Linked DNA regions of Schizosaccharomyces pombe. Changing the gene in region 2 together with the main gene of any one other region gives a genetic interaction. Each region holds a gene or a part of one and is shown on either strand. Other genes may lie near its edges. The genes, in order: pob1, sec8 and its3.

Region 1 (5,924 bases), on a different chromosome or scaffold from region 2:
GTACAAGCTTAAAGGTAGGAACGTTTTGTGGTTGAGCCATACTAAACTTTTCTCTGTTGCACCTAAACTAACTGAGAGTTTGGTTAAAGGAAAATTTTAGTGGTGCGTAATTTTTATATGAATAAAAGACCTGGGTATAACAAAACCCTAACCCTGATAGTCGATTGGAATTTAACAGAAAAGGGAGTGTATGGTATAGTTTTTTAATGCCGATTTAACGAATTGTTTAACGAGTTTGACTATTGCTCTTATTGAAGTTGATCGCCAAAAAATGGATATAGTGTCGTTTTTGAAATTTCAAAAAAGAATTGCTTCTACGAAAAGCTACATTTGTGCGTACTTGCTTATACATTCTGGGTTTATACACAACTTACAAGCAGCCAATGCTTACTTTTTGGACGTCACTACACGGTTTTGATTGCATGTAAAGATAAAAAACCGCAGCCAAGAAAACGTATTTGCTAATCCAAGGAATGCCAGGAATGCCCATACATAGAAAACAAACATTCTAAATTTTCATTAGCTATATTAGTATCACTAGTAAAAGGCCTACGAATTCTGCAATGATCCAGGTCCGCTACCAGCGTGGACTCAGCTGGATCGAAATGATCGAAATAAAGATTAAAAATAAAACAAACGAAAGTGGTAGGAAGTCGACAAACAAATGAAAATTATCAGTAAAAAAATGCTGAATTAATAGAATGATGCATTTGCTTTTAAAAATTTATGCAATAAAAGATAAAAGCAAATAATTCAACGTTAAATAAGCCATATGTGCATGATGAAGATACTATAGCTTCCGCTAGTAAATGTCGGTAAACCAGAATCGAAATGAGCGTATCAAATATGCCCGGTTAATTCTTAAATTGGTGTCAAATATGTCCGCAGTAAAAGCATCAACGAATTTAAAATTCAAACATATTAGCTATGTTTTCAATTTTGAAGGGATATTTAGTTTGAAAATAGATTAAGGAAAACCAGATACTAAGAACAGGGTCTGTTGCGCAGGTTTTAGAATTGGAATGTGTTGCACTTTGCTTTTGTGGATTTTGAGGAGTGTCGGTATTTATTTTTGCTTGCTTGATTTCTTATTCTTTTGTTTTGCATTCTTCTTTAATCCAATCGAAGAAGTGAGATTTGCTTCATTTTCATCATCAATTAATAGAGAAGGAGGCCTAGTACGAAGTTCTTTAGCTTTGCTAAGTGAAATGGTAGGCATTCTCGACGTTGTCAAAACAGGTACCGACATATCGCGTTCCACAGTAGCCTTGAGAAAAGCCGAAGACCAACGATGTAATTCTTCATTATTTTCACAAGTAAAATAATGAACCTTTGGTGGAGTGAACATAACTGCTGCTTTAGCGGCACCTGGAGCAGGTGGAATTAACTTGATAGCAGTTTTGCCTCCACTTAGAACAATGTCATCGGTTTTCGTAACACGATGAGAAGTCATATCAATTAGGCCTTTTTCTGAAGCATCATTTAATGAATGGTAATAAGAAAGCCTTGTTCCTTTTAATACAAAGTATCTAGACTTCCAAACACCGTAACGATCACTACGTTTCCGCATCCAACCATGACAGTCCGCCGTTTTAATTGCTTCTTTGGCAGGTATATTACTTAATCCTTCACTAATTCCAGTAGGTAAAACCTTTTGTCTCCCAAAAATATCACGTTTCGACTTTCGTTTACCTATTGGCTCTTTATTTAATGGTGATGAAGCAACAGAACGAAGGGTTGGACGAGTCTTTAACTCAGTGCCGACTGGAGGTGAAGCGGGTAAGGAAGCAGCCGGAGATGGAGCAACAAAAGTATTTCCTAATTTTGAGCCCTTCGTATCTTTGGGTTGAGGTTTTGAAAGAGGAGTGGCATAATTATTAACAGCGGATTTTTCGTTTATGGACACCCCTTTGCTTGTGACAGGCGATGATGCTTTTGCTGATGGGTCTGGCATTGATTCAGGTGACTTAGTAACAGAACTTGAACTCCCTTGTTCGAGATTGCTACTAGGGAGTCGAGAACTTATCGATGAAGGACTTTCACCATCAATAGTAGTAATCTTTGGAGGATCCAATTCTTCCAAAGCTTCGATAGATATAGCTGAAGCTGGTGCTTTTCCTTTCATAGCACTTGGAATAGGTCTAGGAGGTACGGAAGAAGATTCCGATGCACCGCCCGTAAATTTAGTAGGAACGTTAGAAGATGGTTGAGGAGCATACAAGTTGCCCTTAGATGAATGATAAGGTAAACCAGGAAATGAAGTTCCTTCCTTATCAACATCAATGCTACTGGTAGAAGGAGAAGAGATGGGCTCAGTAAGACGAGAAGGTAAACCGCTATTTTGAGAAATTGAGTCCGTAGGGGATGAACGTTTTAATATCGGTGATGTGGCCGAAGGTTCGTTAGAATCAAAACGAGATACATTTTCAGGGACCGCAGATTGCGTAGACTTAGAATTGCGCGAACTTGGTGTGGCTAAAGGAGGAATCACGTATTGGTTCCAATCGGTAGATGGAGATGAGTCCAAATCAGGTGAAACAATCATATTTGACAAAGAAGGCATCACACTAGTCGGACGATTAACATAATCGTTAAATCCCGGACGAGTTGGACTGGATTTTGATGGTGAACCGCCGGCTTCATCATTAGATTTTTTTGGAATAGAAGAGGAGGAATCAGAACTTTGGCTAACAGAAATAGGCTCAGCAAACTGCGGATATTCTTCATATAAAGATTGTTCGTATGAATCTTTTAATTGTTGGATCTTTCGTAAAACTTCAAAACGTTTTCCAAAAGAAGTAATGTTAAGTTCTTTCAAAACATTGGAATCTAAGCCTAATAAAATTTCACCGGTTATTTCATTCTCCGCAAAATTAGGAGCTACTGATCCAAGGCCGGCATTCATAAGCCATTCAACTACCTCTTCCGTAGACCAGTTAGGAACATTTTGAATTTTTTCGGAAACAGCAAGAGAGGATGCAGGTCGATTTTCAATATAGGGCAAAGGTGAACTGTCATTTGGAGTACGAGATGCTGAAGTTGACATATTCTGTAAAGCTGTTTCAATATCTGTAATAGTTTCTCTAACGGAATCCTCAGCTGACAAAACCTTTTTCAAGCTTGCTGAAGTAGCAGGAGCAGAAGTAGAAGCAGAAGCATTATTATAATCGGCATCAATAGTGTTGAAGTTTGATAGATCTGAGGAAGGTTGGTTATCCAACAAAGGGGAAGGGCCTTCTTGTTTAGAAGATGGAAACATTGAGTTAAAATTACTAGGGACCGAAGGTTTCGAAAGACTATCAAGGGGGCCGTTTAAGATTGATGAGTGACTTGAAGACAAGGAATTATTCGAATACAACTTTTCACTGTCCTTGTCCGATCGTGAAGAAGTTGACCGGCTGCTTGATAAAGAGGATCTTGTGACTTCCGCGGTAGAAATGGAGAAATCTTCTTTGCCTCTTCTTGAATCACTTGAGTCAGACCTCTCATCAGATATCAATTCTACGTGCGAAGCAGGAAAAATACCCCTATTTCCCTGTTCATCTTCTCCCTATTAAAACTTAGTTAGTATGATAAAAATATATCAAGGTTTCACAATCCTAAGGGCATGCAACTTTGACATATAGTGTTTGCATCTTTATGTGGATTGGAAAACTGTACAAAGCAGGCATCAAGAATCCTTCAAATTATAAAATATACCAGGAATAAAAATAATAGGATTTTGACTTCGAAGTTATATACTTACTTCCCACCAACCATCACCAAATTCTTCATCCATCTTTATCAACAGATACTTCCGACCTTCAACCAACGGAAGTTCATCACTACTCTTCCCCGGAAAGGAATGCAAAGCAATCACGAACCGCTGACTTGCCATAGTTGTGGTAAAAGCAGAAAAAACACAGCTATGTGGTTATGCGGTGTTGTAATCGAAGGCTTAAATCTTGATGGCTGGCAAAACAGTGTTTACCGTGTTTGGCTTAGCCCACTTTAACGATAATAATCTATGTGGGGAAAGACGACCTTCGTGGGGGCTTTGCTTTTTGAAATCTGCAAGTCTGTTATATTACATTAGGAGAGTGTTGCAGAATGTGTTTTGACCTAGTCATGGTTTAACCAGTACTTACGTGGGGGTAATAGTAGTATTAGGTGTTGAATAGGTGTTTTATTTATTTCTTCTAATATACATGTCGGTACGTTTGAAGGCAAAGGATAGAATGTCTCATCTTCGTATATTAACGAATAAATGAAGGACCAAAGAACTAAGAATTGTGATTATGCTTACGTTTCCATTGAAATACGCTTAGTATAACGATGAGGGTGACAATTGCATAGTTACTATAATACATGTATCTAATTTATTTATTCACGTGTGTAATGAGGTCGATTGACTTGATCTACCACAAAGGTATTATGGAAATGCGATCGAGTATTAACCAGGTAACTTATTATTTATACAAGGTCCGTCTACGGTTGAAGGTAATTATTGGATAACTTCGCTAATATTTCACAATACTAAAATAAAAAATGAGCTAAACTCGTATTTGACCATATTCCTGGGATATCAACAGTCCACTATATGATTTTGCTTAATAAGAATCATTAGCTATCTGAATGCATGATTATTTAACAGCATCCCTCGCAGACAGAATTCTATACCCTTTACGATCTAATAATTGCAAATATTTCATACATGTATGGGAATATTAGATGATTACCGTTAAAGTGATTTATTGCTAAAAATTGCAAATACAGTTTTCCCTTCAGAGGATAGTAAGAATGTGTATATAAAAATTTAGTAATAAACAGTAAGTTTACTTAACATTGCAAGTTATAGATAAAATAGCATCAACCACTTTATCAGAGTTCTTCTGGGAGCTTGTCTCGATACTTGCAAATGTGTCCTGGACTTGCTTTTTGCTCTCCGCTTCAGCCTGACTATATATACCAGAAGCCTGATATGTTAAAATTGATTGTCCAAACTCTTAAAAACTGTATTGAATAACTTTACCTGACTTTCTGACTTTTTGAATTCCTCTTCCTTCTTGGAAGCGTATTCATCAATTTCGCGTTTAGCCTCAAGACGTGCATCCTTCAATCTTTGAGTGCGATCTTTTTATCTTTTAGAAACGTTGCTCCGATTGATTAAACTTACGTTGGCGAGCCTTTTCGACTATATTTCTAGCAACTTTTTCAGCCTACATATCTCATTAGAAATAACGATCTTGGAATTACCTGAACTTACCTCTAAAAGTTGTTGGATACCAGAATTCGTTTGAGCACTCTAAAAAGAAGTCAGAAATTGCTCCTTATAATAAAAATACAAATTACCATTATGTCTGTAAATTTAATCGTACTTGAGGAAGGGTCTATGGTCGAAGAAGTAATACTGGTTTGATAAACTACTCGATCTCCGTAACGTACTCTATCTACTCTGCTATCCACTAATTCCGTATCTTCTTAAACTCGCTAACGATATGGTAAGATGCGATGTTTTGATTGAAATAATGTTTGCTCCTAAATTTGGATACTATATAATAAAATCAGATTCTTACTATCCTCGGTTATAATTGTTGGGCAACGCGCCGTTGTTTGCTCAGGTGAACTGGAACTTAATAAGTAAATTCGGTATTGTTTTACATTTTTAGGCATATGATCAAGAACTGTAAGTAAACAGATAGCAGAAACCATTTGAATCTTACAATATTACATGATAGTACGTTCGAGCAGCACTGAATTTAACAAGTGCATCTAATAATGCTGTTACGGCGTATACAGCATCCTTGCAAATATAAGCATTGCTAAACATAACTCATTTATGTTTTATAGACATTACTTTCAAAACATCAAATTTTTCTATTTATATGCTCTTTTTAACAACCACCATACCTAAATGAATTACTATTTTAAACTTAGTATATTTT
Region 2 (8,183 bases):
TCATTACGCGTTATTACGTTTAGTATAAGAAAAATACAGTCTGTCTTTTAGGTTTTGGCTGTTTTCTTTTTTCGTTAAAAAACAAATTGTTCTGAAAAAAAGGAAATTTATATTGATAGGTTGATGTATACGACTTTCGAGAATGTATCAGAATGGTAAACCAGATGCCCCCACAATCTTAGGCCAGAAAAGAGAACTTGAAGATGTAGAAATACAAGATGATGATATTCAGGTATGTTAACGTGTTGAGCCTTTAGGCATTCGAATGTTAAGACATGTCGCTAACTCTGTTAAAGGAAGTCTCTAAAGAAGACTTATTAAAGGATGTAAGAGTGAGGAGCATTCAATTTGATGAGTTAGAAAGTAAAATAGAGGGACTTCAAAATTTAGCAGAAGAGAAATTAAAAGTTTTAGCTACTTTGGTCTCTTGGTGGCCTGAAATACTTCAGCAGTTTAGCGTTGTGTTTCAAGGCAATGAGCTGAAGGACTTCGAGAGTGAAGGTGTTTTTTCGATTTTGGAGAAATTCCCGGAGCTTTCATACTTCAATGACGCTGTGAAAAATAATAAAACTAAAGCCTTGAGCATCATTCAAAAACTCTTGTCTACTGTTGACTCAAGCACAAATTCGGTCTCCAGAGATCCTTTTTCAGTTTTATCAATTGATGACTCTGCCCTTACTGAGAAATTAAACACCATTAATTTGGATATTGACAAGATTTTAGATGAATTGGATACCACTCGGTCTCAGCTTCATTCAATTATAAAACTACCAGATCGCTCGTCTAGTTTTACTTTGCAATGCATTAATGAATCAGTGAGACCCCAGTCTACTAAAGTGAAAGAGGAAGCAACCACCTCCTCTAAGGGGAAAGATGAAGAAAAGAAAGTTAGCACGGTTGAACAACGTACTCAACTGCAACAATTATCCAGGCTTCAAGACCAACAAAATGGTTTAATGGAGTCTCGCTCACAAAGCCTTAAAATTTTGGATTCGAACGTTAATGAAATGGATAAATTAATTATGGAACGAGAAAACGCATTAAACAACGTCGAAACTACAAACTTGAAAAAATACTCTTCCTTTTTAGCACTTAAAGAAGCTGTTTCTATGACATCTGAGCAGTTACGCGTATTAGAGCACTTATTGTCCGAATGTTCTCACGAAATAAATGTATTGTCGCAACAGTCAAAGAATTTTAACGGTGTTTTTGAATCTTCCTATCAGCCGTTAATAAACGATCTTGATCATCAAATATCTGTTATGCAAAACGATGAAAAAAGAATTAATAACGCAAAGACTGAATTAAGCTTATCCCTTGAAAAGAAGTTGGAAGCTAAAAAGCAAAAAGAGAAGGTCTACAAAGACAAGTTAGATGAACTTGCGAATTTAGAGACAATGGTATTGGAAAAGAAAAAAGCGGTGGCTACCCGTGAAGCTGCAAACAAAATCCGGCTCGTAGACCTTAACGATTTGGAGTTACAAAAAGATCTGTCAACTTACCTTTCTAAAGAGTTGGCTTCTACTGAAAAAGCATTTAGGTTGGTAAAACAGCAAACTGTGAAAAGTAGCCACTCCCATTATCAAGAATTGATAACCAAATTTAGTGTCGAAAAGGAAAAGGCGGAGCAAAAATATTTTCTGACCATGAAGTCTACAGATAGTCTTCATGCTGAAGTAAAGTTACTGCGCCAGAAGTACCAGAAGACCAACGAAATTATCTCAAAAATGTTAAATAGCCAAGACACTGCTGTCCATAGAATAATAGAGTTTGAAGATCAGCTAGCCCGTCTATCATCGGTTCGAAATAACTCTATAAAACAATCAACAACGTTTCAAGTCAAAAAGTCATCTCAAAAATCAACTATTCAAAACCTGGAAGAAAAGGTGTCTTATTTACAGCAATTTATGGATAAAAATAATGCTACATTAACAGACCTTGAATTTCAATGCTCAGATTTATCATCTTCTATAGATATACTTTCCAAGCAAGATGAAGAGCATGAAAAAGAGAAGCGAAAGTTAAAGGATACTGGGGTATCAACGTCAGCTGAAGAGTTAAAAACTTTTAGGGCCATGTGTAAGTGTTCAGTTTGTAACTTCGAGCGCTGGAAAGATCGAATTATTTCTCTCTGTGGTCATGGCTTTTGTTACCAATGCATACAAAAACGGATTGAAACACGGCAACGCAGATGCCCGATTTGCGGTCGTGGATTTGGTGCTTCTGATGTTATTCCGATACATCTTTGAAGAATATGTTTTATTTGTGTAAATTATGTCTTTCAGGAAAACGCTGTATATATAACAAATCATTTTCCTTAATATAATCTTTGAAACTAGGTCACGTAGTTTTTAAACTATCCAATGCATCTATGTTTTTAGTTAATAAATTTATTATTATAAAATCATTACTCGTCATTATAATTAAAATTCTATATTATACGGTTAAGGATTTTTTCTCGCACCACCCACAGTGTTGTCGAACTGAGTTAAAACCGAGCCAATCTTTTTCTGATACTGCCGATAAAGATCGTCCCTTCCGTTTCTTTTTGCATCTTTCATTAATCGCTGGTAATAAATTCGGACCATCTGTTTAACGTCAGGCAAAAGTTCCTTTTTGGGGGCAGCAATGAAGTGCTCGATAATTTTCTTGGCACCATTTTGGTATATTCCAAAGACTCTAGAAGATTTAGGAAATTCAACGTCGCCATGAATTTCCTTAACCGTCTTAAGAATCTGAATCATTGCTGACATATTTTTCAGCATCTGAAGACAGCTGCCTCTATTCATTGATTCTATTTTGTAAAAGATAGAGTATAGCGATGAATCAACCAGTTCACTCAGACCTTGGAATACAAACCTATAAAAAGTTAGCAAATCAATATAAGGAATTCATTTGTTATTTACCTTCGTTCCCATTCATTCAAACAGGTTTCGAGTTTCAAATTCGTCGTCACAATAGTAGAGTTGAGAGCCATTATCGAAGCATCTGGTCTTCCGCGGTACTCGACAACATAGTCAGGAAGGTTTACACTTTGATTAATACTATGAATGTACTGTAACCGAACTTCCATTCGGATTAGCAGTAAAGCATCGAATTGGAGCCTCTGTAAAGAATCAAAGACTTCTTTATATGCACTTTTATAAAAATCAGTATAAAGTTCAATACATACAGTAACATACCCCTTCATTAAATCCGAATTATTACCCAACAAATTATCAATTGGTAAAAAGTCACCACCGAAATTAGCTTGGTTTTGTTGCAAAACGTTCATTCTTCGCGAACCGTTCATAAATCTTGAAAAACAGCGCTGAAGAAACCATTCCATGGAGTTATGAAGATAAGAAACCGAGTTCACTAGGTCGGAATCTTTGGATAAAACCGATACCGGAAGTTTAACTTCGGACGTAATCGCACGATCTTCATATTGTAATAAACGCTTATTCTCCATTCGACAAAGCTCATTTAACCCTTCAAGTGATGGATTTTTTTGCTTGAGGAATTTAATAAATTGAGGGTACGTTACATCGTCGTGAAGTAGCTTTACTCGAACAGTATCATCGACATCTTCAGTATCCTCGTTGACATGTTTGTATTCTTTGAGAACAGCCGTTCTGCACAAATCTATAAAGGGTAAGCTGGGGAAACAGTGAAAAAATGGAAATGAAACATACCAGAGAGATAATCAGAACAATGGTTGCGAAAACGAACAAGCAAAGTATGTAATAATTCATAAAATTCTACCAAATTTAATGCAACAATAGGCAAATAATCTTGAAGATCGTGAAAATATTGAACAATAGCCACATGGCACTAAAATTAACGTTAATCGTAGCTTCTTAATGAGACTATACCTTAAAAATTGGGATTTTAGAGTATATCTTCCAATCTCTGTGCAATTGGAACGCACCCACGTCTTTCATTATGGTGTCAAAGTGACTCGACATAAACTTGTATAATTGTGGAATGTAACTTCCCCTTAAAAATTCTTTCATAAAATTAACAGCAAACTGAGGAGGTATATTTGGGCTAAATTTTTGTTAGCAAAATAATCCAAACTCAACTTAATTGACGTACTTTTTCAAAATAGACACACTGTCTTCCAAAAAGAATACGGTTTGAGGTAGGACAGACGAAGCATGAAAAACCGAAGGCCCAACAAATACAACGTGGCCAGCCAAACGTACAATTTCTTTCGAACTTCCAGAAAATAGTTCAATAGTGGAAACTGAAGCATTTGATTTATTAAGAATAAGCTCTGGAGCCTTTTCGTTAACCAACTCATTTATTCTGGCATAAAACGCATTACTTTTGTTCTCCACAGCAATTTCGTTTGTTACGTCGAAAAGTTTATCTTCTTCATTTTCGCCAGGGAGGTTGTATATGGACATCTCAGTTCCAACAACGAAATTTCCACTATTTTCAATATACTCTTCTTTGGAAATAAGATAATCTTTTAACATTAACCTAATTTCGCTCTCGAATGCTTGCAGCAACGTATCAAATGGAAACGTGCTATCAGAAGTATCAAATTTTGATACCTTTGGGCTTGTGGGGTCCGAGTTAACAGACATAATGCTAGATTTGTGAGAAGATGAAGCATGCTTTGGTGTTTTAGTCTCTAATTTGGTCATGAATTCGGAGATACCGCGATAATGCATTAAAACACACCTTAATTTTGTAAATAAGTTCGTCAAGAACTCGGAAATCATAGTATGCTCTCTATCAGTCTCAGCGTGCAAACCTATATCATAAAGTGATTTTGAAAAGGGATTAACGGTAGAAACGTTATTACCGAGTGAATATTTGTTAACGATTGCACGTGAAGTAGAATCTACCGTAGTAAACATCTCCGCAGAAGTACGAGACTTTAAAGATGAAATAGCATTGGGGAGTTTTCCCAATAAATTCAATGACTCCAAAACAATACGTATATCACGTAAACTGTCTCTACCATAATCCATTTTTAAGCAATCCGACAACTTTAAAGAAAGCGCTTCTTCTAGGTAACGCAATTGCTCACTTTGGCCCAGAGTTGATGTATTTGCATTGTTTTTTAAAAAATCTCTCAAAAAATATGGGTTGGAAGTTTCCCTCAGCGGATTTGGAGAGCAGTACGATACTATGGGATAAGCGACAGCATCTTTAAGGAAAGTAATTGAAACCAACTCTTCAGATAGAATGTCCTCTAAATGTGACAAGAGTCCTGTCATCCGACTTTTAAACTGCTCCACTACTAATATTCCGTCAAAATCAGAACGACTTAATTCATCCCATACACGACGTATTAAATCGCTGGCATGATAATATTGCTTGCTATCAACAAGCGTATGAAAGTTGTCAAACAGCTGGTTGGCTTCATTAAGTTCCTTGAGCACACTTATGACTTTTTTGTATTGAGAACTACGAGCCAATGTTTGTTGAAGCTCTTTGCTATTAGTATTACCAATGCATTCTTGCGAAGCCTCAAGGGATTGCTTTAATGCTATGATTCTCGAATTGCACTTCTGAATTCCCTCCATTATTTCTCCATAAGCCGATATACCTCGAGTAAAGTCATCTTTATGAGTATGGGCAATCGTTTGTAATGCAGCACTAATTCGATCGTAAACGTTCAGAAAAGACTTATAATCTCTTCCAAAGCTACTGTCATCTAATAGTTCCAACGCTGTAGATATCGGTTGATACTTAACCATTCGTTAGTAAATTCAAACATCCTCCAATCTTCACTTATTCACGCAACATACGTCTTCTCTTCCCAGGTCTTTCCATTCATCCTCAATTTCATTTACTAAATCTAGCATAAAGGTTAAATCAAAACTCCCTGCTGCTTCACCTTACTTTCTAAATCGCCTATGTGCATTCCACGCGATGCATACTCTGAACTCAATTCATTGTCCATGCTAGTTCCATAATTTGAGTAGCCGTTAGGAGATTCCAAGCTTTTCTTTCCCACTGGATACCTTCCTTTTTTCGTTTCCGAATAGCCTCTGGTATCCATGGAAGTCAAATAGTCAGTAGTTTTAGCTTGATATGTCTATTGACTGTATTATCTTTGAAAGGAGAGCTAAGAAATCACTATATGAATTACGTGGACCAACGCACTGCTATTTATTACAGCGCACCTTGATTTAATACTTTATACTGACAAGGAGCATGCAAAAGAACTCTGTATGTGTTTCAGAGTTAATGGGGGTGATGGACTATTGTATAAGAAAAGAATGATAAGGGTGTAACTAAGCTACTACTACCACGAAATAATACTAATATAAACAGAAAAATCAAGCATCCAAGAAAAGGCAAATTAAGATACTTCGCAGAAAAGTACTTTGATAAATAACTATGCCATAATAAAAAAATAAGGTATGATGAGATGATTAAGAGAATAATAATATGAGCAATGCCAAAGACCAAAATAAAAGTCAGAATAAAGGGGTGCAGATGTAACAAAAAAACTAAAAAAGAAAGAACGGTTAAAAATGCGCAATCTCAATATGCATTTTCTCCATTACAAAAATCAACACATGACAATCTTAAAAGATAAGAAAGTAAAAGAGAGATTAAGGGCATTAGAAGGATACAAGTATTAAAACCAGTAATCCTTGTAACACAAACAACACAACAAATGGGGGCGGAAAAAAAATTTATAATCCAAGAAGATTCCAACTGTCATAGCTTCGTTACAATCACTGAATTAAGAAATTTAACGAAACAGAAAGATGAAAGACTAACGACTTCTTTATATAACGGATTGCCAATTTGAAGTAATATAAATAAATAGCGGGTCTCAAGCTTCCGAGCTCAATGAACAACTCAGTGCGCAAACTATCGATAAACACTTTTGCCAAGAAATATTCAACAAAGCGATGAATGTAAGTTCTAGAGTGCTTTGAAACTAAATGCATCAAGCAACATTTTAAAGCTACCATTTGAATTATTAGGTAGACGTCTCTCCGCAAGAGTCATCATCATTTGAATAACTCATCAATCCCCCAAGTTCATCGTAAGCATTAGAGAGACTGTCTTCATAGCCCCGTTCCGCAATTTGCATTCCCTTAGCTTCCTTCCATATTTTTAGAAAGTATAGCCTCAAAGTCCGTAAACCTCGTACGTATCCTCGATCATACGTGTCTTTGTGTTGAGGAGGACATGTAGCTTTTGCTAAAAGCTCTTTATCCTCAGCAAAAACACAATTGGCAAAATCAACAATCCGAATGTCAATTTCACGAGGCTTGACTTTTTCTTTGCTGGATTTGTCGCTTGGCGGCGGCTCCCCATCATATAAAAATAGTAATGAACTAGCATACAAGCGGGATCCTTTAAGAAACCTAACAATTTGCTCTAACTGCTCTAGCTTTCTAATTATCGTGGGAATATGATGCACCAAGAGATGGCTATTGTCTTCATCGTCATCCGTTTTCCCTAAGTAACGCATCAATGCGTGTTGAAATTCCTCTCCTGCTTTAATATCACGACCTACATACTTATCTTCAAATGTATATGATTGAAGCCAAGGATGCCAAACTTGCATTCCACATATTCGGACACCAAGAACTCGAGATGTAGTCATCGCACACTTTTTAGTTTGTGAGGCTTTCTTTTTCTCCGTAGCCATTATTCCGTATTGTCTAGTACCCATCTTGACATCCAACACACAAGGTCTTTTCATTCCACTCGTTAAGTCTTCAATCACAATATATCTCTCAATCTGGGTAGAATGTTGAGATTCCGAATTTTCCGCGAGGGCATTAGCATCATTATTATTATTGTTTTGATTATCGCTTGCTGGAATCCGGTGATCTTCATCGGCGGATGCCATGTGTGGAAGAGAGAGTACTCGCCTAGGATCATTTACGCTCCTGAATGGATCTCCAATTTCTGCTGGTTCTAGAGGTGGAGGTAACTCGCTGTTTTCTTCATTGTCCATAGCAAAAATAGAGTCATCGGGTACAGTTCCATGCGAGTTCGGTGTACTTCGTAGTTCCTTTATTGTATGTCCTGTTGACTCCCTTGAATCATAATCCTCCATTGTACCAGAAACCCGAGGAAACTCGTTAGATTCTGGTTCTTCCCAAACAGCATCTGATGAAAAGCGTCTATATGACTTACCTTGATTATTGGACGGTACGTTGAGGAGTTCCTCGTCGACTTCTTCATTTTCTTCGGCAACGGCGGAATGCAAG
Region 3 (5,235 bases), on a different chromosome or scaffold from region 2:
CCTTCCAGTATCAACAAAGGAGGAATTGTCAAACAGATTTTAAGTTCGTATCCAGAAGATTCACTTCCTTCTTTTATCTTTTGTGCAGGTGATGATAGAACTGATGAAGATATGTTCCGCTCTTTGCATAAAAACACTCGTATTAACAAGGAAACTTCATTTGCAGTTACCATTGGATCCGACAAAAAGCTTTCTATCGCCGACTGGTGTATCGCAGACCCTGCAAATGTTATTGATATCCTTGCTGATTTGGCAAATTTTACTAACTGAATGACAAACTAACTATTTCAACGAAGATGCCCGATTCATCTTGTTCTTTACAAAGATTTATTTATTGAGACACACAATCCTGGATCTTAGTTCAGCCTTTAAATTAATTTATGCTCTAGTTATTTATGTTTAGTTGAGAGGTCTTCGTAATTGAACTACTTCCACTACTATGAATCGCTCTTTTCTAAGTACATACGTTTACTCGTTACAAAAGCATACTTTCTTCCTAATGAATTTTAAGTTATATCATAATAATATAGCTTTTTGACAAAGATTGGTGAGGAACTGACGAACATAAGTTATTTGAGATGTAAATAATAAAAGCGCTAATTAGAGCAATAAGTTATAGGTTGTGCATCCGTTAATGCACTTCGGCATACATGCTTTGCTTTGTTTTTTCTCTAAAATAAAAAGATAAATTAGCCAATATATACAAGAATAAAAAGGTGGTAAAGCATTATAAATAAATGCATTAAACTTGAAATATGTGCACTTCAAAGACATTAAAATTTATTAAGATGAAGAAGTGTTCGTAGTAACATTGCGGCATGGGAATGGAAATCGGTGTTCTGTTTTGGGTGATTTATGAGCAGAAGTGCTTTTAGCATTGCGAGAAGAAGGAGCTGTATTATTATTAAGAGAACCATGCTTGTTATTAGTGCGCACATTGCCAGCATTAACGCTTTGCTGTTTGTTAACACGCTGGCCATCCTGCGGTTTTAAGGGGAATGGTTTCAAAACTAAAAGAGTTGGCTTAATACTTGACTCTACAAATTTGTAGAAGCGTGAAGCGTATTCAGCAGGTGGAACAGCAGAAATGACAGAATCTGAATGATTAATGCCCTTCCATAAATGCTCAACGCGCTTAACATATGAATACTAAACACCGGTAAGTATAATGAAAATAAAAGCAAACAAGGAAAACAAGTAAAAGACTTTGCATTCCCATAAAAAAATTTACGCAATTTATCATACCTTAGTAAGTAAGTCAATTATTCCGATATAAAAGATAAAGTTTCCTGGCTCATTGTTTTCATCGGTGGCTTGGAATCCACCGTCATCACTGTAGAACATGAAGTTTCTTCTCCTAAAATAGTGTTAAAAAATAGTCTAATTGTTAAAAAAATAATAAGCACTTACTCAACGAACTGGTCGGTCGGCAATAGATTACAAGATTGATCCAACGAAACAGGACCGGTGCTATTAACGACTTGTCTGATTACATGAACGTTTGAGTGAGATTCATTGCCATTAATCGAGGGCACTCGATGTTGCGACACATTTGGGTCGTAAACTGACAGAATGCTATTACGAATTTTGTCACGATTACCACGTGAAAGGTCATGGATGCCGACAAGTAAACTGTAATCCATAATTCCTAAAGAGGACAGCATATCAATATCGGCTTTGACCTGAGTTAAGAATATCTGACGCTTTAAAGGACCAAACTGAAGATGCATATTTCTGCGAATCCAATTTGTATCTTTCATTGTACACATGGGACTTTGACAAGGTTGATTTTCGTCGAGTTCCCTTCCTAGGGTGGATCCTTTGAGATCAAAAGTTTGGTGGATATCACGATGAGGTGGGAAAAGGTTGTTCATTACAACAAAATGGATTTTTCGGCCAAAGGGTAATTTTACCCTATGCAACCCATAAAATTGCGAAATCAATGTGTTCGGATTATTCTTGACGTGTTCGTAGTAATCATAAAGAATTTCACGCAAAAATTTGTGCTCAGAGTGATGGATTGTTTTAATAATGAATCGATAGTCACGAGAAAAATAAAAAAAAGAACCACTTTTCCCAGGAGAATCTAACTCAGACAAAATGTACTTACTGGTAAGAGATACAAGATAATCTGCAGCATCTAAATGAAACAGCTGCCTTAGATGTCTAAATACCCAAGGTGCATAATCTTTGAACTTAAAATCATACTTGGCGGAGGGAGTGAGTTCGTTGCCAGTAATGTCAAAGGTAAACTTGTGACGAGCAGTAAAATCAGCAGGAGTAAGCTCACGGTCCATTTTCGCTTGGCAACGAGAAACACCGACGCGAATTCCAGTAAGCATGTTGTACGCTGTAACATAGTTTTCATGGCCCTCTGAAACTCTAGTTCCAACGAGAACGCACTCATCGTCCAGTTCTTCCCTGCGACGGCGCATGTTAACACGTTTTTGTTTGACTGCTTCAGCCCAGCTAGCAGAGCCAATATCGGGGGGAATGCCATCCAAAAGAGAACCCGAGGTACTGACGTTGGTACCTCGGTCGCCGGATCTCGAGCCAGAAGGTTCAGCGTTGCTAGAATTTTTTTCGGAGTAAGATCGCTTTAGCGGCCGCTTCGCCTTCTGCGAGGAGCTGAGCGTGGAACGATCATTAGGTGGCTGCTGAGATGAGGTTACAGGGTTGGAGGAAGAGCGATCTATGGGGGCGCGAGAAGGTTGAGGAGAGGATAATTGATGCTTTAAATTTTGTAATTGGGGAGAAGAGGAAGAATTGGAGGAAGGAGGCTCGAGGGCACTTACGATGGGAGAATCTCTCAAGATACCATCAGGTACGCCAGTAGCCGTAATTACCGAATCGTTAGAAGAGGAAGAAGGAGAGTGGGCAGTGGGATTTGAGGGGAAATCTTGATTTTCCTTAAATAATGAATCGTTAGGTTCATAAATATGGGTCTCCGACCGAACTTCGATTTTGGGGTTGGTATGAAGAACATCGTGGCGCATCGTACGTTCGAAATCGTTTTTATGGGATATCAAATCCTTTTTTTGAAACGTACCATTTGGAGCAAAAGCATTCCCATTCAAATCGACAGCCTGCTTTTCATCATACGAAGGGATTTCGTTCGTTATAGAATGCGGATTCACTATGCCGTTTGAATCAATTTTCATTAGTGTTTCCTACAAACATATATGAAGAGTTAAAAATTTACTCGCCAATGGACTCCAAACACAATTTTTGATTCCGTTTTTTAACAAACAATTTGAAGACGTCAATTTCGTCGTTTTTCAGTTCCTACAAAAGCAAGTTTTTTCCCAAGTTATTCAAAATGTTTTAATTTACCGAAAAGAGCAGCTTAATTCTCTTTTTTATCAACTCTTTCACCGCAAAACACTTGATACCAGCGAAGTGTTGTTTCTACCAGTTTCTTCCCTAGATATATAAAGTCACCGGAGTTCACCGAATTGTCCGGCACATTCTCCAATAATTCGCACTAATGGCAGTAAATGGATAAAATTATCGCTTTCTGTATGGGAAAGGAGCAATCCCGAATTTACCAAGCCAAAAACTTCTGAAACCCAGTTCCATTATTGCGAATAGTCCATAAGCTTGCGATGTTTGAAGTCGTTGACAACGTCGATTTCGTTGAATGTAAACAAAACGAATCTGCTCAACGTAAACAAAAGCATCGATATGGGTGTGTTGCGTGAAGAGCTGGATGCTGTAAATCCAATTTTATAAAGGCTTACTTTTTAGAACCTCTATTAATCAATTTATAATGATTAAGCTTGCATGGATAAGTACAGCAAATGATTGAGCTATTTTGAAAATCTAAAGATTTGAAATTTCCTTAAAAAAAAAATAAATAATAAAATAAAGTTAAAAAAAATTAAAGTAAGATACACATAACGTATACTTCGTTTATTTCAAACATATCAATTTATTTTTATTTTCCAAAAATATATATATATATATATATTTAACAAAAAGAAAAAGGAAATATCCAATATTCCTTTTCTTCGTTCTCAAGTTTACTTTGAATGTCTATAATATAAAGAAGCTAGCACTGAATATTCAACTTTAAGAATCCATTGAAATTATAATCAAAGGACAGTATCTAATGTTTTTTGTCTTACTAGATAGATAATTGCTTTTCCCATTCCTTCGGGTTTTGTGCACAAGTAAATAAAGAACTTCGGATAGAATCTTAAGAGGCTTGGGTAGTAAAAACATTCAATCAGATGGATCATTTAGTTCTAGCAAATAACAAATTAGAGTAATTTTTGAGATTGAATAAGGAAAAATATCTTGGAAGAAATGATCAATCGCCTAAAGCATGTTTATTTCGTAAGCTTTTCATGTCTTAAGGCACAAACACCACCGTGATCCAAGGTAATTGGCATAGCGTTATGAAAATGAAGGACTTAAAATGGAGAGTAAAATTTATTCTTTTGTCACGCCAAAGTCGATCTTCCATTCAAATACTTTTTTCATTTGGAAATTTTGCTTACCGCTTTTTTGGATAAAGCAGTTCACTGTTTAAGGGAATAATTTATAACATTAAACAAAATACACTTCTTTAAGGAGTTAAATTCGTCTTCTGTACGATGTTCCAAGAAACATAACAGTAGACAAAGCTATTCGATCCATTCGTTTTTAGATTTCTTTATTAAATGATTTATTTTCTCTTACGGAATGGTATTCATTTTATCTCGTAGACCAACTTACATTGACTTTACCAACTTTTTATACTTTTATCCTTCGTGTATAGATTAGTTTTTTCCATAAAATGAATGAGAAGATTCGTTCACAATCTGTGCTGAATACACTAGAAACGTTTTTCATCAAGGAAAATCATTATGATATGCAGAGAGAAGAATCTTCCATTGTGAACGGTATGAAAGCCAATCTTGAAAATCATTAACCAATTAGCCTGCTTACGATATTTGGGTTATTCGAAATCAATGTGTCATGAAAAAATGCCGATATTCATGGATATCGCATTCATTGAGTATTGCTTCAATCTTTCGCTTGACCCTTCTTCATTTCAAAACCTTCCGATTACCCAAACTCAGCCGGATAGTCAACAAATTCTTTGGGAATATTCTCTTATTAGCAATGCTTTAGAGAGGCTAGAGAATATAGAACTGGAACGCCAAAATTGTATGAGGGAAGATGGCCTTGTTAAATACACTAATGAACTTTTACTTAATAAAGAAACTCTAAACAATGAAGCTTTGAAAT

What was found.
Region 1: mutations in sec8 (region 2) and pob1 impair growth when combined (synthetic growth defect), as found in Schizosaccharomyces pombe (one study listed by BioGRID).
Region 3: mutations in sec8 (region 2) and its3 are lethal when combined (synthetic lethality), as found in Schizosaccharomyces pombe (one study listed by BioGRID).

The regions. Positions count from the first base shown.
Region 1 is NC_003423.3:4,387,277-4,393,200, forward strand, and holds pob1 (Boi family protein), read right to left. Parts: upstream 3,887-5,924; 5' UTR 3,878-3,886; coding exon 3,746-3,877; intron 3,551-3,745; coding exon 1,067-3,550; 3' UTR 520-1,066; downstream 1-519. Other genes in the region: Ran GTPase Spi1, read right to left, coding at 1-40; vma10 (V-type ATPase V1 domain subunit G), read right to left, coding at 4,815-4,955, 5,012-5,112, 5,156-5,198, 5,246-5,284, 5,332-5,334. UniProt on the Schizosaccharomyces pombe protein: Has a role in cell elongation and separation.
Region 2 is NC_003421.2:489,926-498,108, forward strand, and holds sec8 (exocyst complex subunit Exo4), read right to left. Parts: upstream 6,009-8,183; 5' UTR 6,002-6,008; coding exon 5,842-6,001; exon of another isoform or gene 5,798-5,841; coding exon 5,748-5,797; exon of another isoform or gene 5,688-5,747; coding exon 4,078-5,687; exon of another isoform or gene 4,061-4,077; intron 4,030-4,060; coding exon 3,855-4,029; intron 3,814-3,854; coding exon 3,675-3,813; intron 3,625-3,674; coding exon 3,183-3,624; exon of another isoform or gene 3,138-3,182; coding exon 2,907-3,137; exon of another isoform or gene 2,860-2,906; coding exon 2,445-2,859; 3' UTR 2,250-2,444; coding exon of another isoform or gene 297-2,249; 3' UTR 233-296; coding exon of another isoform or gene 143-232; 3' UTR 91-142; downstream 1-90. Other genes in the region: histone H2B-K119 ubiquitin ligase complex (HULC) subunit, ubiquitin-protein ligase E3 Brl2, read left to right, coding at 143-232, 297-2,249; kcs1 (inositol polyphosphate kinase), read right to left, coding at 6,938-8,183.
Region 3 is NC_003424.3:4,070,302-4,075,536, reverse strand, and holds its3 (1-phosphatidylinositol-4-phosphate 5-kinase Its3), read right to left. Parts: upstream 3,402-5,235; 5' UTR 3,162-3,401; coding exon 1,411-3,161; exon of another isoform or gene 1,358-1,410; coding exon 1,246-1,357; exon of another isoform or gene 1,243-1,245; intron 1,150-1,242; coding exon 784-1,149; 3' UTR 501-783; downstream 1-500. Other genes in the region: trehalose-6-phosphate phosphatase Tpp1, read left to right, coding at 1-270; protein Poz1, read left to right, coding at 4,781-4,886, 4,924-5,235. UniProt on the Schizosaccharomyces pombe protein: Catalyzes the phosphorylation of phosphatidylinositol 4-phosphate on the fifth hydroxyl of the myo-inositol ring, to form phosphatidylinositol 4,5-bisphosphate. Involved, together with the calcineurin ppb1, in cytokinesis.